Linked DNA regions of Drosophila melanogaster. The gene in region 3 interacts genetically with the main gene of each other region. Each region holds a gene or a part of one and is shown on either strand. Other genes may lie near its edges.

Region 1 (7,005 bases), on a different chromosome or scaffold from region 3:
TCGTCATCGCGTAAACTGTAACTAGGCAAATTTACGTTTAGATTAGAGCAACGGTTTGTTTGAGTCATCTGTAGATATGCCTTCAAATTAATAGCATAGATTGAAGCAAAGGGAATCGCTTGGGAGCTGACAGAACCCATGATATCATTATTTATCGTTCAATTAGAGGGCCACCAAGTGGACACCAGACGATGGGTCGTGTGCAAAATTGAGGAAGGATTAGGTTGATCACACCGAATGTGACAATTGTCGCTAATTATCAGTGCTACCGATCGATCTTAGCCCACTTTTCAATTGATAATTGATGCGTTTCGTGTGTTTACACAAGAAATTGCTTTTTCGAACTTCATTTTCGAATTTCAACGAATCAAAAGTAAAGTAGCAAAAGTAATATATGTGGGTATCTTAATCTATCCCTTATGAGTTATGCAAGTTCCACTGCAGTCGTCGAAATATACATTTTCTAGGGCTCTCGATTCAGTTTTTTTGTTCTTTCTTTCTTTTATTTGCCCGCCCATTGCATCTTATCGCCCGCGATTCGTTGTTACAATTTTAGAACATTTTCAATTTGAATTGAGATTGCCTGTGGTTCGTTCTCTGTCGTTCACTTATCGCCGGACGATAAGAATCGGAGGAAAACATATGTTTTGCTCAACAGTTTACATTCCCAATTTCGACTACCGACTTGCGGCAAACAAACTGCAAACAAGCCAAGTAACAATTGGCAAACAACAAGTTAAGCTAGTTAAATGAAGTTTAAGTGCTAATTGATTGAAAGATAAGAAGCCGCACGGAATTGGACCAATCCATATGGCAGAAGTCCAACTTCGCTGGCCCAAAACATCTATGAACTCTTTCAGAAGCATGACTGGTACGTAATTGTTTTTCGAAAATGATTACAATACAATTAAGTATCTTAATAAGTATATATGTAAATTCAAAATAAACAAATAAACTTTAAAAAAACAAGCGATATTGTACTTTATATACCATCATACAGCTGCCAGCGATTGATATTCATGTGGGCTCGCTGTTTTCATACCACTTTTGAATGTCTGAAATTATTTTCAGTGTCATTTAATCGCAACAGTTTCGCTCGCTTTTCTCCACCGTGCGCATGTCTCCATGTCGAATGCGAAAAAATCGAAAACCAGTTCCATTGCAATCATAATTACGAGGCTCCCCATTTATGCATTTTCATTTTTGAATTTGCAATTGAGCTTCTCAAAACGGCGCACGTACATCTAGTACATACATAAATACGGGTATGCAAACCGATATTCGTAAATCAGCCAGAATTCAATGTGAATGTGGTGGATCAAAGCCAAGTTATTGCATAATTCGCCACTAGTTCACTAATTTCAAATCAACATTTTTGAGCTGGCAAAGCAAAAGTAAAGTAAAAACAGCTCTAAATCAAAGTGAAGGTGAATGAAACTAGAAATGCACTCGAAGAAAAAGTGCGTGCTTAACATAAAATAAAAGAAACTTGCTAAACATTGTACGATTCGTGCTTTTAAATATTAGTAGATTTTATATGCTGATCATATGCCGAAGTAGATAGCACTCTTCTATATAATACTTATATCATAGTTAGCCCCATTTCTCGCTGTGTACGAAGTGGAAGTGGAGTTCGTGGCCACGCATGCGGAGCAGAAAGACTGCAAAGCTGAAAAAGAGAGAGGTTTCCCTCTTTTTTTCCAGACAAAAGCGAGATTAGTTCCTCGCTCGTTTGCCCGCCAATCGCGGGTATATAAATTATTATACATTCATACATATATATGTACATACATTATATGTATGTACTTGTATTTCAAGGCGTATTGGAGCTCTTTCACTTTTGTTTTGATTTTTCTTTGGCCAGGCGGACTTTCAGTTTCATGGCTTAAATGCTAATTGGTAAATGCGATTGGCAGTATAAAGTTTATGAAAACAAAGAGCTCAAATCATTTCATTTGTTCTTTGTCAGCTAATCGCATACATAAATATGTATATATAAGTTCTTCCTGAACACTCGCAAAAAACACGCTATAATCTGGCAAATAAAACTCGAGCTGCCAGCGCCCAACAAAACAATAATTATATTATGTGTTTTTTAGCGAATATCTTGAATATTTTAAATATCCCGACTCTCGGCTTGCCATTGAATTCCCCTCATCCAAGTGTTCCAGATAGCTTTACTGCCCACGCACACGAGCGTGGTGAATTCCAGCTATTTAATCTAGTTGCCACTGGCATTGTTTGCTGAAAGCATAGTTAGTAGTGTATGGTTTATAAAGTACATACATACATACATGCATATGAGTATAGTGCTCCTCGCACTTTCTTATCAACGAACCTGCCACCCTCCCCAGAAAAAAAAGCATAAAGTAAATCGAGTATATCAGTTGCAATAAACAATTGCTGGGCCAGTTTTCAATTGTGGAAATTGTGAAAAGCGAACAATAAAAAAAAAAAAAACATTTGCACCGATTCTACTCGAACTCGATGCTAGTAGGTTAATAAAAAGGAACAGCTGTCGCTTTCTGCGAAATGCAAAACAAATAAGGGCATTCTACGAAATTCCCTTGAATGGCTTATTTAATATTTGTTATTGCCACAAGTTGCATCAATTAACGATTGCCAATAGTTTGCTTCTGTTACAGCTCATTACTCCCATTGCATTATTCGATCCCTTAAGATATACAAGATATATGATCGAATTTAACACCTGTGCTCGTTGGGCAAGAATAAAGCGCAACAGGTGCATATCGGTTGATGGCCCCATTCCAGGTGTTTATTATTATAAATATTGCATAACAATTGGCACTGCCACTTGTGGAATGCTTCCAGACTCGCAATTCGATTCGAATGCATGACCCAGAACGTGATTTGAAATTCTCTCGGGATAAACTAGTTCCAGAAAGCCACTTAGCTTAAGTACACAAAAAACACTCACCCCTCTTTGTTAGCAGTGTGACGGAGGCGGTGGTCACGCCCCTTATTTTAAGCACATGACTCTCGATCTTGTTGACGCAGGAGGCGCAAGTCATGCCCATAATCTCCAACTCCACCTCCGCCTCGCCGTTGTCCGGCTCATCGATGAGTTCGGTGGGGAAGCCCAGCTCCGTGATTGATTTCGCTATATTCTCGGCCGTCACAACATTGGCATTGAACTTGACCTCCGCCTTGGCGGCCAGCAGGGCTACCAGGATGCTGTCCAGGCCGTAGATCTTCTTGCAGTGCTTCTCGATGGCGGCCACACAGCTGGCGCACGTCATGCCTCGGATGTGCAGAAAGCATTTGGTCAGTAGCTCCTGTTCGACGGGTATGGCCACTGCCGAACCATTTTGAGCATATGAAGGAGGTGGAGGAGTAGGAGTTGCCCTCTTTTTGGGTGATGAGGCGGGGGCGGGCGACGGCGATTGGGATGGCGATCGAGGTTCCTGCACACTAGCCTCAAAACCCATGTCATCGATGAGCTCGGCTATCTGGGCGGGATCATACTGGGCGGGATCGTACTGAACGCGGGCATTCTTGGCCGCCAGTTGCACCTCAATGGAATGGATGCCCGGCTTGGTGCCGATATTGCCTTCGATGTTGCGCACGCACGACTGGCAGGTCATGCCCACCACCCGTATGTTGGTCCATGCGCTGGCGGGAGTTTCGGGAGGATCTGCTGCATCCCCTGGATAGCTGCACTCGAAGCCCATGTCGTCGATATCGCTGGCTATCCGGGCGGGATCCGTCTGTCGGGGATCGTAGTCGAAATAGCCCGCATTCTCCTCGAGAATGACGCGCACGCCAAGGATTCCCGATTTCTGGCCAATGTGCTCTGTGATATTGCGCACACACGACTGGCAAGTCATGCCCACAATGGGCAGGCGCACCGTGGACATCGTCGCTTCTACTCTCTCGTCACTTGGCATCCTCAATGTGCATTATTTTGGGTGGGCGGAACACGACGATGCGGAATTACTTGATATACTTGAGATTTTGAACTTTTGAGTTGCCCCTCGCCCTATCGCACGTACCGAATTGTGTCACTAAACTAACTTTGTGGAGTCGGGTGAGTCGTATTGCAGCTACTACTGGATTTGTTGTGGTGGAGTAGTCGCCTCCCGCCAACGCTTTTCACTTGGCCAAACTCCACACGAAACTCACAATTTTGCGTTCTTGTGTCTAATTTTTCAATTAGCAGGCAACAGCTGCTCCGCTCCCGTTATGTTTTTCCCACGGCACGCAACTACCGATGGCCGTCCGTCGATAGGCAGGCGCTATCGAGATGAGCTAGATACCGATGTGGGCTATATCGATACATTGCTTAAACTTTCGATTCGATAAAAAAATATGTGACTAACTAATGTTTTCTTTTTAGCTATTTAATTGTTTAGTTAAATTTCAAACTAAAAAAAGGAATCTTATTAGATTTGAAAATTGCCAAGGTATCGTACATATCCCCCACTTGTCGATAAAAAGTCGATACGAGTCACGGCCGAACGGTCATCTGCCATCTCTATCCGGTCTACTACCGATTTGATTTGATTTGTTTTGGAATATCTATCTCTATTTTTTCGAAATCTCCAATATAATCCAACTCAGCATTGGCGCAGTAAAGCAAGATGCCGGTGGTGGAACTGAAAGTGGATCGCAACCTGGTGTGCTCGGACTTTTCTGGCTACAAATTGGCATTCGATTCGGTGCCTGTTCTTCGCCAGGAACTTGGATGTGATGCCTACGTGCTGGATCCGAGCAGCAATCAGTTCTCGCTGCTGCACACGGAGCTCTTTGCCCGACACAATCACCTGGTAGCCGATCCATGGATGCGCCACTGCAGCTACTTCTTTAACAAGCGCCACCAGCTGGTGCAGTGCAACTACGATCTACAGACTGGACGCGCACGTGCCCAGCGCGTTGTCCTCACGGTGGACTATAGGGATCAGGGCGATGGGGAACTACATCGGTCGGGTGACTACAACTACACCATAGTTTTCGTTTCGGAACGATTCTGTGTGATCTGCGACGGTATAACCAGTTACCATCTGGTGGACACCGGCGACAGAACGCGCACCGATGTGCAGGAGTGGCAACGGATTACACGCTCGCCGGTGAATAATAACAGTGGTCATCGCGGCTTTGCACTCTTCGATGCCCGGCTGGATGTGCTGCAGGAACGTAAGCAGATCTCGCTGGTGGCCGGTCATGTGGCACGCCGTGATGCAGTTGGCCAAGATCAGACGCACGTCTATTACATGGACTTGACCTGGGCACGGTGGACTCATTCGCCCACCAATGACGAGTGGTCATATAATATCTGTCAACGGCTGGAGACCACTGGCTCTGTGCACTACTGCGCCTTTGAGCCTCGCGCCGAGTCCCTAGTCATTGCCAGCAACCGCGATGTTCAGACTCCCGAGGAGCGTCGGGCAGCCGATGAAGCAGCCGCTGCCCGCTTGAATTCCTCAGGTGATCACGATGGCCAGCTGGAAAATGGAGGTCCACCTAGTTATAGCTGGTCCCAAACGGATAATAATGTGCTCATTCGTTTCAATGTTCCTTCAACTGCATCCGCTAAAGAGTTTAACGTGAGCGGTTCTAAAACCACTGTCGTTGTAAAGCATCTGGATGAGGTTATATTCGACGAAGAGTTATACGCCAGTGTGGGAGATGATTTAAGTGCATTTAAGTTGGCTGAGAATGGCCTAGAATTGTCACTAACCAAGGCGGAGATTCAGAACTGGCCACGTTTGTTCGCGCAGAAGAAAGATGACGTAGCGGAGGAAGTACATCCAATGGAAGCTCCACCACTGCCCATTCCAAGTCTGCAGGATCCCGTTGAAGAATGTGACTTAATATCCGCTGATGAAGAAATGAAGATGGGTAAGCATTCTATTATACATCTGCTGCATATGCTTAATAAATACATTTTCTTCTTTTAGTACGCTTCAATTTGACCAGCGGGTGCATCACCCACACTATTTTTCTTGGTCCCCCGCCACTGGTGCTCACCACCACGCTGCGTCCTGGCTTTCCAGCCGCCTTTGCTACCCGCCAGGGCGTCGACGCCTCCATATGGCTACAGATGTACCAGCCCAGTCGTCCAGATGAATGGAGTGTCCGCCACGAGGGCCAGCTGCACGCCTTCGGCTACGTGCAGGCCTCCAAGGTTGTGCGGAAATTCACCGTCTGCAGTCCGGATCTGGATTACGTAGCCATATGTGACCCTGTACGCTACGTTCTCGTCTACTTTCCGGCTAATAATTCGGCTGATGGTCTCCGCAGGCGAAACGGACCTCCCGTCACCTTGGGTAAACAAAAGCTCATCACCTTGGGCAACGAGATTGACGAGATTCTGGGCATAACCACGGCAAACAATCTGATCACCGTTCTCTCCAAGAAAGAACTGATACACCTGCAGGTGTAGACGGTGTTCCGCTTTTCTTTTTTTCTCCATTTACTCTTAAAGAATTATGGCTTTACAATTCAAATTCTGAAATGTACATTTTTAAAAAATTAGTACTTTTAAAATTTATAATATAAATATATAAAAAAAATATATATATGTAAATTTTTAATCATATATGTATACAACTATGTTTATTGTTAAAGTTTATTTTTAAGTGCTTAACAATTTTTGATAATGGCGCCAAAGAAAAAAAAAGAGTGGCAACTCTGCTGCTCAGTAGCCGATAGCATATACGTGGGTCCGCAGTGCTGCACAGCGAGTGGCGGAAAAGAGTGTTGACACGTCAGAACCCCAGACCTATCGTGCGGCGAATAACACAAAACGCCGAATGCTGGCGATATCGATAGCATATCACAAATAACAAAAACACGTCACGTAATCCGGACGGAGGCTGGTAAGTAAATGGAATTGGAATGACAGGTGGCATAGCATTTGGCCGGAATCTTGGCACTGACCGAGCGCATTTCTTTTGCAGCTGGAAGAATAACAGGCGGTGAAGCAGGGAATCATACGAATCCAGCAGGGAATACCAAAAAGCAAAAAGGGCGAACCATGAACAC
Region 2 (5,392 bases), on a different chromosome or scaffold from region 3:
GTGCCGGTTATGAAAACGGTCAAATCGACTCGTGTTGGGTGAGTATTCACTTGGCTGATACGGCACACATGTTATGCTCCGGGTTTACTTACCTTCACAGGCGGATTCTGGCGGTCCGCTGATGTCCAAGGAGCATCATCTGGTGGGCGTGGTGTCCACGGGGATCGGCTGTGCACGTCCAGGTTTGCCCGGAATCTACACGCGCGTCAGTAAATACGTGTCCTGGATGCAGAAAGTGATAGACGGCAGGAAATAGTTGGCCAGGAATCTGAAACATAAAGATTGTGATTCACCTGTGATATTAGTCGTACTCGATTATGTGATCTTCTTCAATAAACGTTACTTTAACCAACTAGAAATTCAATTTATTGCGGCCGGTCGTCATTTTTTAAACTTTAATCGATGATTGTGCCAATCGATATCGTTGGACTAATTTGTGGTATTTTGCAGAAAAGATTACTCTGACAATATTAATCGACAAGAATATCGCTAGTGTAGGAGGAACGGAGGAACGATGGAATTTTGAATAATTTATTCTTTCATTATTGAATTCAAAAAAATGCAATAACGTTTAAAAAAATATCTAACTACCTATGTACGACTTAAGTTCATAGGACTCAAGAAAGTATATGAAATATGCACTTGAAAACTTGGCTCCCCACGCTTACTGTCCCACCTGCTGCCCCGCCCGACCGACTGTCACCCGTGGCCCAACGAATGTCTTGACGTCTGCCCCGCCGTTTCCCTAAAGAAATGTCCTTAAAAGTGGTCACGCTCTACGAGTGGAGAAATTCCCGAAAATGTGGGAATAGTTAGTAAGATCTTTATTTTATTTTTTGCAATTCACCTCCAAATAACGAAAAGAAATAAATAAATAAAAAACGTCCCCATGTTTTGATTTCCACCGTTCCGTCATCGCCGCGAACTCATCGACGCTAATTTAACGCACATACAATAATCGCTTTATACTTAGTATTTTAAAAATACTTATAAGTAGCACTTACCGTCCGCGGTATTTTTTGTTTCGCAGCAATTGGTATTCAATTAAATGCCATAAACAAACACAAAAAATGGAAATGGACGCAGACCTAACAAAGTAAATATTTATATTACAATCCGATATATTTTTAATTAATTTGATGCTCTCACGTTAGTCAGGCGATTGCCGAGCTAATGCGCGAGATCGAAGGTGCAAATGCCAGTGTCAGCACCTCGAAACAAAGCGAACGCAAAGTGAATCCTCTGGGCAAACTAAACAAACGCTTCTTAGGCCGCACCATAAACACCGCGATTCGGCATAATGATAGAGAAAAGGAGCGCACACAGGCAAATTGCCGACAGAAGCTGCAGGATCTGGATGATGTGCACGAAAGGAGGAAGTCCAACTACTTTTACAGCCGCGATGCACCCAGAACTCAAAGTGTTGATAGAAGCAGAAGTTCCAGCAGAAGGCGCAGCAGGAGCCGCCACAAAAAGGCCAAGAAGCATCGCAGCCGAAGAAGAACTAGGAGCAGCAGAAGTTCAAGCCGCAGTCGAAGTCGCAGCAGTTCACATCGGCGAAAAAAGCGCAAAAAGAAGGTTAAAAAACACAAAAAATCACACAGAAGACGAAGAAGCAGCCAGAGCAGCAGCGGTTGCGATTGGGAATCCGCACCCAGCGAGTCGTTACGTATACCCCCGCCTTCAGATGTGTTCCTAAACCACTCCAAGCAAATGGCTCTTGCAGTGGCCATGGCCTATGGTCAATTACTAAACCCGAGCAGCCAAAAGAAAGCCAGCGAGTCTAAGGAACACTCCTCCTCTCCTATAAGCGATATATTCCGGGAACTTATGTCCGACGAAGAGGTGGACAAATCCGAGAAGCCCGAGGCCCTGTCCATTTCATCCAGCGACGAAGAGCCAAATGTTCTCACCATTAAAGTAAGCTCGAGCTCCGAGTCCAGCGGCAATAAATCAAGCTCGGACTCAGATTCAGAAGCAAAGAACAGCGTACGCAGCTGTATAACCCTAGAATCTGGTGATAATAGTGATATTGAGATAATTGAGTACCATGAAGAGCCCAAAAAAAAGGCATGTGAAACTGAACCTGCGTCTGAACCTGAATATCCGTCTCAATCGGATAGCACAAATCAACAAGTGGACGATAGCACAGCTGTCACTACAGTGGACCTGACCGAGGATTAATTAGGCTAAACTTTAGTTAGAGAATCGTTATGTAAGATCAGAATGAAATTTTAAAGGAAACAAACTGAAGTTGAACCAAACTAAGAATATTGTTTTTATATTATTATTACAGATATAAGCTCTGCCATAGATAGATTCATATTTGGTTGGTTTTTTTTTAAGTTATGTTTAATAGTAATATACTAAATATACCACCGAATGATACCCTGTTGTGTCTGTTTATAATATCAACTTTGGGTTCATTTTTTTATTTAAATTATAAAATAAAAATGCAAAATTTGAAATGTTAATAATACTTATTAGTTTTAGTAAGTAATAAAAACCACGTGCCAGAGCTCTTGCCATAGTTGATATGCCTCTCGTGTACGGCAACAAACTGTTGCTCTCTCTCTCTCTCTATGACCGATTTTCTCTCAGCACCTGCCCGAACAGCTGATTCTTTATTTACCACTCAATTTTCGATGGAAAACGCCAGCGCGAAGACAATTAGAAATCGCTAAGTTAAATAAATAGAGATCCGTTGTCGCAAGATGTTCGGGAACCTGAAAAAGAAGCTTAGCAGTGCGATCCAGGAGGGCCTGGTGATCTCGGAGAATCTGCAACAGCAATATCGCCAGCGTGTCAGTTCCGGAAACTCGGGGAGTAGCCAAGCCAGTGGGATTACGACCCCCATTTCGCCACTGGGCCTTAACGAAAGTCTGTCGTCCAGCAGGAGCAGTAGCCTCTCCCTTAGTGCTCCCTTCCAGCTAACCGATGGAGTGCCCAGTCACCTAAATGTGGCAGCTGGTTGCAGTTTGCTTGCCAAATACGAGGATGATTGGCAGCAGATTCATGGCGCCAACGAAAAGAACGCGGAGAAGGCTGCGCAGATTGCTAACCAAATCTCCGGCATCCAAGACCAGGCCAGCCATCAGCACAGGATCATGAGTGAGCTGAACAGTAGTCTGGCGGGAATTCCCACGTTGATAGCCCAACTGCAAAACAGCTCACAGGTTCTTAATTCCCTGGAGGAAATGGGTAAGCAGTTGGAGATTGAGCTCGAGAAGCTGGAGGATCTGCGCGAGGAGTGTGAGCTCCAAGAGTTCATCCTTGAGCAGCAGTTTCAGCTCTCCCGGCACAAGCAAAAGAAACTGAACGAACTGGAGCAGTATCGCCAGCAAATAGCCCAGAAACACCAATCCAAAATCAAGGATCAGGAGCAGACCCTCCTGAAGCTGCAGAGGGAACGACAGGCTGTCTTCGACGACGCCTTCCGGGAGGATATGGAGGAGTACAAACAGCGCGGCCAGCTGACAAGTTAGTCTGATAACATAAACAAATATGATGCACTAAGTTAACGCCCCTTTTTTTTTAGAAATTCAAACCACCAGCAACAAGTTGGCTCTGGAGGAAGTCGTCCTTGAAGCCAACGAAGTGGAGACAAAGGATGCTCTGGAACAATTTCTAAATGGCTAACTCACATTGTTTGCTCATCTCGCAAAAGACTACAATTTGTGCCTTTAAGTGCAATAAGCAGTGTAATTGTTAAAATATTTTAACGGGGACTTCTGAAAAATAACTTAATTTTTTCACAACATTTTCTTACTGCATTTGAACGTTAAACTATTACATTAAAGGGAATTGGACATACAAAGATTAATTATCAATGCCAAATTATTTTAACATACAAGGCATTTTAACATAATTTGTTAAAGTAATTTCAAAATTGCTTTACTATCTCGGACAAAATATAGGCAAATTTAATATAAGTTTCAAATAATGAAGTCAAAGTAAAAGTGAATTTTCAGGAATCCCCCTAGTGTATATGAAATTTGTTGATGTGGCACCGTCACTGCATGTTTTGACAGCGCTGAATAAACATTGTTTTTATAACAGTCGATTTTCTCTTTTCTTAATAGACACACAATAATAGATTCCTTAAACTTAGCATGATTATATGGAAATTAAATTAAATATTAAACATGTTTATGATTACGAGATGGTAATTTCACAACGTGGCAGCTCTGGCGAGAGCAACAACAGCTGATTGCTAATCAATGATTAAAAAACTGATTAAATTAGAGATAATTCTCCGCAGCTTACACTTGTCGCAGCTTTCATTGCTCCCCGCATTGCCCCCCAAGTTTCCGTACCCCCTCCTGGATTTCGAGCTTATGGGTGCAGTTGGATCCGCTTTGAGATCCCCAATAGTCGACATGTCCACCAAGCAGGCGAAATTCGTTGAAAACACCATTGCCAGCAACAAAGTGGTGATATTCAGCAAGACCTACTGTCCCTACTGCACGATGGCCAAAGAGGTGAGAAAGTTGCGAGACCTTGAAAAGTCCCAAACAGTGATAAACATCTTTGCGTTCCAGCCCTTCAAAAAGCTCAATGTGGACGCCACCATAATAGAACTCGATGGAAATCCCGATGGCAACGAAATTCAGGCAGTTCTGGGCGAGATTACCGGTGCCAGAACGGTGGGTGCACTAAATATTTTACATTATAAAGATTAATTATCATTTGTAACCTGTGTACTGTGTAGGTTCCCCGCGTCTTTATCGATGGCAAATTCATTGGCGGTGGCACTGACATCAAACGAATGTTCGAGACAGGAGCTCTGCAAAAATATTTCCAATAAATAGTGTTCTTACTCTGTTCAGAACTCCGTTTTATGTAAAAAGTTTGTTAATCTTCAAAGTCCTTAATAAATGCTTTTAAAATTTATGTTTTGCGCTTATTGAGATTACATCGTCTTCTGAGTAATGGGCAAAGTGTTACTAATACCATTCATTATCCGTTAATAATTTTTATGATTGTAGTTCTACGGATCTGTTAGCATAGATATCACAAACATAAGAATATCCCCTTCAACTGCGCCCATGTGAGCAACAGTTTGCAGTTTTAACTGATCTGGCAGCGCCGTAACTGCAGTAAATAAAAAATTGTTTACAATAGTATTTAATAAACTGAATGATGGCTGATTTGGTGAGCGGTGAAGCTTCTGAATCCGACGAGGAGCTGCAGGAGAAGAATAAGGTTGTTGAGGATATCATTTATAAATAACAGTCCAATAATAAAACCATTTTGTGACAGATTTTTGCTGCTGAAATTTCGGGCGAAGCCTCCGAAGAGGATGATGAAGACATTTACGAGCAAGGCCGAAGCAGCAACCAGGTCAACAGCACGGCTTCCATTTACCGGAATAATCTGCTTCAGCGGAAAC
Region 3 (6,119 bases):
CATGCCCAGAACCAGCTGGGGCCAGTAGGTGACTCTTTTCATCAGCGGATACGTGATCACGAGGCCCAGCGAACTGGCGCCCAACAATATGGATTGCCAGTTGAGCTGGACCAGCACCAAAAGACCCAGACTGAGCTGCGCCGAGAGGAATACTATGGCATCGAACTGACTGATCTGACCCGAGGCCAAGGGCCGCAACCTCGTGCGCTCCACTTTGGCATCGATGTCCTTGTCCCAGAGATCGTTGATGGTGCACCCGGCGCCGCGCATTATCAGTGCCCCGGTGCCGAACAGACCCAGCATGGTGAGGTCCGGCCAGCAGCCCGCATCCGCGCTGAGCGCTATGCTCCAGGCGCAAGGCCAGAAAAGGAGGTAGGTGCCAATAGGCCGGTCGATTCGCATTAGTTGGGCATAGGGTTTGGCGGCCGACACGAGTTCCTGCAGCGGCGTTTGCTGCTTCACGGGCTCAGTGGCGGTACTCGAACTCCTGGAGCATACATCCTGCAGCCGGGACTTATCCCAAGTGCTCCAATCTCCAATCAGAACACGCGCTGGTTGCCGGGGCAGCATGTGTTTTGTTGTTGCCGCCGCTGCATAAGAGCTGCGGAAGTGCCTAGCGCTCTGGAGTCGCAGGTGTCGAAGCGCATACATTGCGATTTGCCTTGCACTAGCACCTTCAACGATTAAAGCATTAAGTCACACGATGTTAAGTTGTATTTGTTCGTAAACTCACAGTCAAAAAATGGCAAGATGTTTAATGGAACTTTGGTTGGGAATGTCAAAGGGCTGCCATCCGGGTAAAGGCAGACAAAGAGTTGCCGGATAGATGAAAAAACAATATGATCCGGTGGCACTGCTGCATTTGGCGATAAAAATTTGAATTTAAGTTTCAAAGACAAATATATTAAAGTTGTAAACAACTTGTGTTAATTGTTAACTTTTGAGTTGTGTTTCACCAAAGTCATATTTATATATCTAAACACAGAAGAACATATGCGGAATGTAGTTCTTCGTTTTACCAATACTAATAACTAAAGCTTCTTTACAGTTATCTCCACCTAAGCAGTTTAGCAAAAGCTTTTGCTCTCTTTTTTGCGTAGACCCAACCATTTACCCCTCTGCAATATCGTTAATGTTTTGCGCACGTCGCCCATTTTTCGAAATTGGCACACGGCGCAGGAATGTCCGTAGAATTTATGCACACGGCCGCAGAAGGTTTGCGCACGGCCATCAATTTTGGCGGCATTCTATCCCAGTTAGAAATAGCACAGTAAGAAATAACACTCTAGGAAAGCCAAGTGGACTAAGGCAGACCTCCGGCGATCCGGCGGCCGACGGTTGCTATCGCTCCCATGCCGGAATATGGGCATATACCTACGTATGAATGTACTCGACTAGAGCCATAAAACCGTGATCGAAGCGAAGAAATAATGGAATTATTTCAACATCATGTATTACAGCAACAATTTCAGGGGGTTGTATTAGCCCATGATTGATAATCTGAATTGCAATAAATTCTGCACACGAATCGATTGTCGAACCTTTGCCATGAGTCCATAAATTAAGCTGCAAACCGCAGAGAAACCCACGACGCATCAATTATGGATTTTATCTCTCGAGATAAAGATCTGCAACTGATACCCAGAATATATCTTTTGATCTGACCTCTAACACTGAGATCTGCATGCATTTATGTTTATTTACATGACTGTATCTGGGCTGCCTTTCTTAGTGTGGGGCGACTATCGTTGGTATCGCCGCTACTGGGTGATAACGCTCTTTCCCATTGCCCATAGATAAGCGCACTTTCCTATCGCCGCGTCGGGGGATTAGGTGCGATTTTCTTTAAAAAACCACTCGCGAGCAGCGGGTTTCAAGCAGTCAACGCTCTGCTCTCAGCACCTCAGCAGGTCTAGCTCTTATCACTGTGCCTCCCCGATCGCCAGTCGGATTTTCCACGCCTTCTATCTATATCTATACTACACCAGCAGCCCAAGATGGATCACGGCTCGGATGACAGCACCAGCACGGCCAAGTCCTGCCCTATGATCATGGTGGTGAGTACGCAGTTACACAACTCCTGTGTCCAACAATTTTGATACAAAATCACTTACCACTGCGCTAAACGCTGTAATTTAAAAGTCACTCATCCAGTTTAGCTGAATGAGATTTGCACGGAGAGCAAACAAATATCTCGTCCGACTTGGAATTTGAATTCTCTGGCTAGTCACTCCCTAGTATAAGTTCGTATAAGTATGTTTATGTGCCAGAAACCACAACGAATTATTCGCTCTCTAGCGCTTTATTCGCTCTCAGCAAATACAAATAATACAAATTGAATATGCTCGAACAGGGTGTCTCATGAATAAAGATTCATGGGTTAAATTATACCGCTGTAAGGGAATTATAAAAAAGATGTTTAATTCGAATGTTATGTTTATGTTGATGTTTAATTGGAAAGCTTAAGCTTGATATTTTATAAAACTAAAAGTAATATTAAACTTTTGTATTAAGGATCATCTTAGCAAAAGTGACCATATAGATATACCTAGATATTAGATATCTAGGAATCTAGATATAGATACGAATTAGAAAGTTATTAAGTGGTAATTAGTGGTAGTTAACTGGTATTTAAGCCTCATCTTACTGATCTTATGGATTCTTATGTAGTTAATCTTTCACTCTCGCATCCTTTCAGTTCCACGCTGGACACTGCGAGCGAATTTTGTGGCGCGGATGGGTGGCGTCCACTGTGACGGAGTTCGTGCTCTCCGCCCTGGCCATCTTCCTGGTGTCCTTCCTGTATGAGGCGCTCAAGTTCCTGCGACAGCAACTGGCGCGCAGGGAAGCCCGTCGAGCAAGCGAGCAGCTGGCGGCGGAGCAGCGTAGGAAGAACGAGGCTCCGGCAGCCGGAGGATGCTGCTCGGAAGCTCCCCTGGCGGAGCCGAGGGAGCAGACCTACTGGCAGCGCTTGTTCGCCTCGTCGCACATCGTCCAGTCCCTGCTGAACCTGCTGCAGATCGTCATCTCGTACCTGCTGATGCTGATCTTCATGACCTTCAACTACTGGCTGTGCCTGGCAGTGATCCTGGGACTGGGTCTGGGCTACTTCTTCTTCGGCTGGAACAAGAAGAATCCCGACGAGAGCGAGTGCTGTCCTTAGATCAAGAATATCGCTCTTAATTGTTTATATATCTTGCAATTGTTATAAACTAAGCCCTTATCAGTTCTTGGTTCACACATCAAAGAAAAAGTCCCGTCCCCACGTAATTATACAAATTGTTTAAAAATACAATTTTATTCGATAGTTACACTTGGTTTAATTGTTATTGATGTAATCGTAGCATAAATTAGTCAACTAGTTTACTTAATGAGCATATTGTACAAATAGTGTAGTCATGAGAACAAGAACCTATACAACGCGTATTCATCTAAAGCGATTAAAGTACTACTCAATACTTTTGACTTTACAATATGTTTTTATAAGCAATACACTTTATTTTTGACCACCCCGAACTCAAAACGCAAACAATCCGATATGAGACAAAAAAGAAGGCAAAGTTAAATCTCCAGGATTACATGAAATTCGTTATGAAATGCGAACATTACCAGGTCTGAGTCCTGACAGCCCACAACTCACATTTGAAGGCCTAACTAATCACGATACTCACCTATCACACAATAGTACATATTTTAGTTTAGTTAAGATCTTGAAAAATCTTTTTAACAAATATTTTAGCTGTGATACATCTGGGCAGGTAATATAACTAAGCAAACCTTATGATTATGTGAATCATCTCGCACACATTTTTTTACGACACTTTATCTATTTGTACTTGCCTAACCACACACCAGTATTTGCAAGCTTCTTAGTTAAAGTTTAAATTATTTTGAAATTTCCGGGATAATTATAAGTTCTTTTAGTGCATTTGTTTAAAATTTGAGTGACAAGTGAGCGCCATGATGAGACCATTCCCTAACTAGCTCTTAGACTAGAGTAACCTAGACTGAACAACCGCGATCGAAAGTAGCTAGACCCGCAACCAATCCGCTGATTATAGACCACCCAATCATAAGCCCGTGGCTCCAGCGGCCATCATTCCGCCGTGATGATGGTGGTGATGCATTCCGCCGTTCTGGAAGTACATGTAGTAGTTGTACGGCGACTGCTGTCCCGCCCCACCCTCGCAGTCGAGCAGTGGCTGACCACCGGCCGTTCCCGCCACCGGCGAAGGAGTCATCGGCAGCGGGGATACCGTACTGCCCATGCCGCCCATTCCACCCACTCCGACGCCCACTTGGCAACTGGCGCGCAGGGCAACAGCCTGATGGTGGGCCAGGATATCGCTGACCGAGTGGGAGGAGGGCCAGTGGGCGGCAGCGGCTGCGGCGGCCACACTCCTCAGCTGGTGGGGATGGGGCACTGATCCCTGACCGCCCGCTCCCTGCGGCGGGGATGGACTTCCACAGGGCGTCTTCATGCTGTAGGCCGCCGCAGCACTGTACGGCTGGTAGATGGAGTTGTACAGGTGGGCGTGGGCATGGGCGTGGGCGTGCACATGATGGGCACTTGCCGCCGCCGCCGCTGACTGATGATGATGATGGTGGTGCGGATGGTGCGGTCCACCGCCGGGATTACCCAGATTGCTCAGATTAATATTATTGCTGGCACTCGTGCCATTGTTTTGTCCACCATTGCTGGACACACTGCCGCCACCGCTGCTGCTTCCGCTGCCCATCACCGTTCCCGGCGTGTGCTGATGCCCCAGGCTGCCCAACTTGTTGCGCAGGATTCTCGATATGGAGCTCACACTGGGTACATTCGTTTTGTCGCATATGCCCTCGCTGAGCAAACGGTCCCGGATTTCCCACGCAAAGATGCCGGGATCTCGCTGCTTCAGTTCCCTGATGTAGTTGACCACCTTGGGTGTGGTCACGCGCGGCTTGGATCCCCCAATTGCGCCGGGTAGTATGGAGCCCGTTTCGTGGTACCTGGCCAGGATCTTGGACACGCAGCCGTGACTCACTCGCAGCTGGCGCGATATGTCGCAGGGTCGGATGCCCAGGCGGGCCAGCTCCACGATCCGCATCCTGGTCGCATTGGGCAGCGGACGGCCGTTGACAAAGACGCCGCCCAGCTGGTTCACCTCGCCATACTGCGGACACTGCGACTCTGCAAAGAGAAGATTGCGGATTAGTTAGGTTGGTAACATAAAGGAATAAAGGAAGTGTCTATACATTTTAACATAAATATGAAAAACTGTTTTCGGAAACTGTTCATATGCCAGAGTATGCCACAGTATCATCCGAAAGCTATTCCCGGTTCCCAGTACAAAATGCGAACAAAGAGCGTTGCCTGGGAATGGGAAGGCGAACAAAAGCACATTTGCGTCTAATTAGTTTCGGTGGCAAATGAGTGAGCCGAGTGGCTAGGAGTGGGACCTGCAGAAGCGGTGGAGCGGCGGAGCGGAGGAGGATTGGCGAGCGGCAGCCCAAGTTGAGTGGAGAGCCGTTTGTTCGGCTGAAAATCGCTACCATTTGCTTCTTAGAACTGCGGATGTGGGTGCCCCGATTGTGACTGGGAAAACACAATTTGAATGCCCGGAACGTGCGGAAATGCACTTTGAGCGATGACGCAAAGATTTCCCCTTGGCGCATAGAACACTACTTAAGGATAGGTGCACATGGGTGTATCCTATTCTTGAGATTGAAGAATGATTAAGGTTCAGCAGAGAAGCTATTTTCACAGGACCATAAATAAAGTAATTAACAACCACTCCTGCGAAAGGGACAATATGGGAACAATTGTCAATTATTTAAGACATGAAGACACACCCCTCAAAACAACCTGTGCAATTTTGCACGCAAATAAAGGCGGTTCTTTTCGTGAATAACTAACTAGCATTGGACAATTAAACAACGCGTATAAATGCAACTAGTTTAGGGTACTGCCCTCAGTCTTCAGGTGACAAAGTTCAAGTCAATCGAAACCTCTAAACTTTCAAAAATGATTTTTAAGTACATTCAAGAGCCAGTCCTTGGATCCTTATTTCGATCCCGGGATTCGCTGATCTACTTAAACAGATCCATAGATCAAATGGGATGGAGACTGCCGCCAC
Region 4 (4,870 bases), about 12 Mb from region 3:
GTATTTTCTATATATGAAACTTAATGAAGTTCAACTTTGACACCAAATGCAAGGGTAATAACTTGTTATTATTAATAATAATACAAACCGCTTTTCATCATAGCAGTTGTCATGGAAATCATACACAAATACTTTTTATATTCATATTCATTTATATATAAATATATTTTATTATTATTGTGAAAACTTTCATTGCTAATTTTAAAAATGGTAATTAACATACTCTTTGTTGGAATTTTTGTGTGGAGTATAGGTCCTAGGTAGTCATTACAAGAGCGTTTCCCTGTCACATTATTTACACCTGATTTGCCAAAAGACTGCTACTTTACATCCGGGCAGGGAGCAAAGCAAAATGGAAGAAAACAAAACGACCTGAGCACGCAACAAAGGTCTTTGGGAAACGCCTCAATCACGCACCTCTGATTATGCTAATGGATCTGAACCACTGTTGTTTCATAAATATTTTGACAGCTCAAGCACCGGAAACGGACGCTTGAAATTGTCCACAAGTGCCTGTATTTTAATTGGTCATTTGGTTTTGACAGTTGGAAACTCAGGCCTAGCCACTCGAATGGAAAGCTCGACCGCTCTTTAAACAAAAGTGTGTGAAATGGGTAGCAGTAGCAGGCTATTAAATAAATAAAACTTGGCCAGAAAGTTATTATTTGGCCGATACAAAACGTATCTATTCCATTGGCAGACTATTAAACCCAACATAACGCTGGAGGAATTTGCTGCTAGTAGAGCAGAATATATATGTATTTTTTGAAAATGCAATAAAATCGGCACAACATTTTTGAGAAATTGCCTCAAAAGCGAAATACATTTTATATTCAAAACAAAGTGGGTTGCAATTTCGGCCATTGGCATATGGGCAAAGTTCAGTCGCAGATAAAAGCGGCTAAATAATTTGGTTTCAGTTCGATGGCCACGAAAATTGAATGTTATTTCGATTTATGTTCCGTTTTGCGCACAATTCAATGGACTTTCGGTGAGTTTTCTACCAAAATCACGGCTGATGGATTGGATTTTAATTCCGGTGCAGCTGTCCGCGAACATACAAATATTTGCAAATCCCGCCCAAATTGTCGCATTGCGTTTGCTTATTTTTCATGTAATTCTATTTTGCGGTTTGCTTAACTGAATGCCAGCTCACGTTTATTATTTTACCATAATTGGTTTTAGCTGCCAAAAGCCGAAAATATAATTATCGCTTGGTAAGATGACCGACCGCCCAGTAACAAAAAGTTAACGGCAGAAACTTTTAAATGCTCAAAATCTTTATAAACTTTATTTATTGCGGCCAACTCGTTGGGAGTTAAGCTCCAGTTTAGAAGTTAAACAGTTAGTTATATAGTTGGCCCGCTTATTTGTTGCTGCAGCACTGGTCCTTGGGCCCATTCTTGCAAACGCACTGGCAATCCTTGTTGCAGGCGCAGTTGTCCCCGCACTTTTGGGCCGAGCACTGGCAGTCTGTCGAGGAATCGAGAACGATTGTCAATTATACAGCTTGCTGCTGCGTTGTACCACTTACTTGTTCCACAACCCTTGCAAACCATCTTGTATGTATCTATTTCTCGACTTTCACTTGGCTGAGGCGAACTGATATTCACTTGTTTGCTTGTTGCTTGGCTATTCAACTGATGACCCAGTCCGGCAACTCCCCCACTTTTATACCCACTTCGATTGCCTCGAACTCGAACGAGTGCAAAATTGCACAAATCCAAAACAAATTTGTTTGTTTGACCCAACTTATCACGTCGTGTGCAAGTCTGGGGCGAGTGGTTCGCAATTTATCAGACGATAGGCCAGGCAATTCTTTTTGCGCACGCGATTGCTCGCCAACTCGGTGCACACGAACTCCTCATCAGCTTATCAGCTGCCCACGTTGCGTATACGTTGCGTATACGCCGCGTATCGTGACTCAGCCCACAGCCCAGAAGCACACAATAAAAAGCATGAAAAGCGCAGGCAGCTACCCAGCGGGGTTTTTCACAATAAATAAAAGACTTTCCTGTAGTAAAACAAATTTAAATGCTCATATTGGCTGCAAAAACGCTTTACGACTAAACTCTTTTCAAAAAAAACCCAGCGTAAATGCCATAAAAATATCACATGTGGAAAGCTAACTAAAAATTAATAGAGGAAAAAACGCGCTGCAAATTAGGCAAAAACTATAAGCTCTGCGGGAGCTACGAAAACAGTTCGTTGCACGGAAAACCAAACACCCGGAACAACTTTATATATATTTATGACTTTTAGTAAAAAAAAAGTTTTCGAGAACAAATATAGAAATAGGCCTGACTTAGTTGTTTTTTTTTTTGCTAGGTGTACCTGCAACAAAAGAACGACTTAGATAAGTTTCCTGCAGTCTCTAACTCGGCTAGTTTTTTTACCTTTACTTTTTTACCATTTTATTTACCTTACCTTAAAAAAAAAATATCTTTAACGAGTATAATGAATATATAATTGATTCTTGTGCTTGTGTTGACCACAAGGTTTATATTTAACATCACATAAACATATATAACTTGACCAGCCAGCACCGTTCAGTTAGAGTATGACTTCAGTTCCTTACCACAAATTGCATGAATATCCTCTCGTCCCCAAAGTGTCCTTCGATTTTTCTCCGTGTAGTCCTGGGAACATTCCTGTAGAACTCAATATTTTAGAAAGTCAAGTGGCAGGTGTTCCGTTACCCCAAATTAAATTAAGTAATTATGAGGTCAGCGAAGGGTGTCTCATGCGAATTTAATGGGACACTTTTGATGGGAGCTATATAAACCTAAGACTTATTCTGTCAGCCGATCAAACAGCTGAATCATGCTGTTCCGCAAACGTAAGCCAAAAAGTGACGATGAAGTCATCACCTTCGACGAACTTACCCGGTTTCCGATGACTTTCTACAAGACCATCGGCGAGGATCTGTACTCCGATAGGGATCCGAATGTGATAAGGCGTTACCTGCTACGTTTTTATCTGGTACTCGGTTTTCTCAACTTCAATGCCTATGTGGTGGGCGAAATCGCGTACTTTATAGTCCATATAATGTCGACGACTACTCTTTTGGAGGCCACTGCAGTGGCACCGTGCATTGGCTTCAGCTTCATGGCCGACTTTAAGCAGTTCGGTCTCACAGTGAATAGAAAGCGATTGGTCAGATTGCTGGATGATCTCAAGGAGATATTTCCTTTAGATTTAGAAGCGCAGCGGAAGTATAACGTATCGTTTTACCGGAAACACATGAACAGGGTCATGACCCTATTCACCATCCTCTGCATGACCTACACCTCGTCATTTAGCTTTTATCCAGCCATCAAGTCGACCATAAAGTATTACCTTATGGGATCGGAAATCTTTGAGCGCAACTACGGATTTCACATTTTGTTTCCCTACGACGCAGAAACGGATCTGACGGTCTACTGGTTTTCCTACTGGGGATTGGCTCATTGTGCCTATGTGGCCGGAGTTTCCTACGTCTGCGTGGATCTCCTGCTGATCGCGACCATAACCCAGCTGACCATGCACTTCAACTTTATAGCGAATGATTTGGAGGCCTACGAAGGAGGTGATCATACGGATGAAGAAAATATCAAATACCTGCACAACTTGGTCGTCTATCATGCCAGGGCGCTGGAGTAAGTTTGACGGTTATATATTATATATATCTCTCAATTCATCCAAATTAAGGATAAGAACTAAACTACTACATGTTTTTCTTATAATACACTTTTCAGCCTCAGCGAGGAGGTCAACAACATATTCAGCTTCCTGATCCTGTGGAACTTTATTGCCGCATCGCTCGTGATTTGCTTCGCTGGCTTTCAGATTACAGCCTCAAATGTGGAGGACATAGTGTTGTACTTCATATTTTTTTCAGCTTCGCTGGTTCAAGTCTTTGTGGTCTGTTACTACGGCGATGAAATGATATCTTCAGTGAGTTTAATTTTTATTAATTTTTCTTGTTTTCGGTCTAGTATTAACAAGAAATGTACATTTCAGAGCTCTCGGATTGGCCATTCGGCATTTAATCAGAACTGGTTGCCATGCAGCACCAAATACAAACGCATCCTGCAATTTATTATCGCGCGCAGCCAGAAGCCCGCCTCTATAAGACCGCCTACCTTTCCACCCATATCTTTTAATACCTTTATGAAGGTAATCAGCATGTCGTATCAGTTTTTTGCACTGCTCCGCACCACATATTATGGTTAAGGGAAGATTAGATACATATATATGTATGTGCATAGGTACATCGGAATATTGATAGCAATCCATCGAATACGAAAAATACATATTTGCAAAATAAGATACTGAATTCGTTTGCAAAATACAAATACATAAGTACACATAATGTTATATAACAAGATAACAACTTGTGATCTTTAAGAAAAAACAGTATTCTATCCTAAAAAAAACCACAACAAATCAAGTTATTTAATGTGAAAAATATATAAAAATTCATAAAATTAATAAAACAAATCTTAAATTGTCATAAAAAAGATCTGTTCTGTTAACACTTTACAGATGTTATAGAGGGTAAAAGTTATTAATTAATACATGCTTTAAGGCTGTGACATAAAGTCCCCATGAAAAGAACATTAACGTTCCCGCGACAGAATACTTTGCATACTTTGCGGATCAGTCATAAAAAACGACTTGTAATACTTGTAATATATGGAATTTAAAGGTCAATCCGCAAAAGACCATCAATCCCTGCTTCACCTTGAAGACCTTAAGTCCCGTCACCGCACCCATAGAGCTGGAAGGTGTAATCCTAGATCAACCTTCACAGGCTAAGTACCTCGGGATTACCCTTGATAAACGGTTGACTTTCGGCCCGCACCTGAAAGCTACGACTCGGAGATGT

What was found.
Region 1: of Ctr1B (region 3) and ATP7, changing one suppresses a phenotype caused by changing the other (phenotypic suppression), as found in Drosophila melanogaster (one study listed by BioGRID).
Region 2: of Ctr1B (region 3) and Grx1, changing one enhances a phenotype caused by changing the other (phenotypic enhancement), as found in Drosophila melanogaster (one study listed by BioGRID).
Region 4: of Ctr1B (region 3) and MtnB, changing one suppresses a phenotype caused by changing the other (phenotypic suppression), as found in Drosophila melanogaster (one study listed by BioGRID).

The regions. Positions count from the first base shown.
Region 1 is NC_004354.4:11,852,255-11,859,259, reverse strand, and holds the start of ATP7 (ATP7), read right to left. Parts: upstream 4,239-7,005; 5' UTR 3,909-4,238; coding exon 2,939-3,908; intron 1-2,938. Other genes in the region: CG10347 (uncharacterized protein), read left to right, coding at 4,602-5,859, 5,919-6,403; p24-1 (p24-related-1), read left to right, coding at 6,998-7,005.
Region 2 is NT_037436.4:18,865,166-18,870,557, forward strand, and holds Grx1 (glutaredoxin 1), read left to right. Parts: upstream 1-4,064; 5' UTR 4,065-4,165; intron 4,166-4,172; exon of another isoform or gene 4,173-4,261; 5' UTR 4,262-4,337; coding exon 4,338-4,481; intron 4,482-4,541; coding exon 4,542-4,646; intron 4,647-4,711; coding exon 4,712-4,807; 3' UTR 4,808-4,892; downstream 4,893-5,392. Other genes in the region: CG6865 (uncharacterized protein), read left to right, coding at 1-38, 101-256; CG14074 (uncharacterized protein), read left to right, coding at 1,174-2,184; Dysb (dysbindin), read left to right, coding at 2,715-3,480, 3,539-3,639; Blos3 (biogenesis of lysosome-related organelles complex 1, subunit 3), read left to right, coding at 5,143-5,205, 5,263-5,392.
Region 3 is NT_033777.3:8,315,740-8,321,858, forward strand, and holds Ctr1B (copper transporter 1B), read left to right. Parts: upstream 1-1,872; 5' UTR 1,873-1,997; coding exon 1,998-2,057; exon of another isoform or gene 2,058-2,267; intron 2,268-2,698; coding exon 2,699-3,163; 3' UTR 3,164-3,466; downstream 3,467-6,119. Other genes in the region: Coq2 (coenzyme Q biosynthesis protein 2), read right to left, coding at 1-651; Poxm (Pox meso), read right to left, coding at 4,071-5,173; Or85a (odorant receptor 85a), read left to right, coding at 6,008-6,119.
Region 4 is NT_033777.3:20,501,972-20,506,841, forward strand, and holds MtnB (metallothionein B), read right to left. Parts: upstream 1,648-4,870; 5' UTR 1,560-1,647; coding exon 1,535-1,559; intron 1,474-1,534; coding exon 1,367-1,473; 3' UTR 1,131-1,366; downstream 1-1,130. Other genes in the region: Or92a (odorant receptor 92a), read left to right, coding at 2,824-3,638, 3,738-3,936, 4,003-4,215. UniProt on the Drosophila melanogaster protein: This protein binds cations of several transition elements. Thought to be involved in metal ion homeostasis.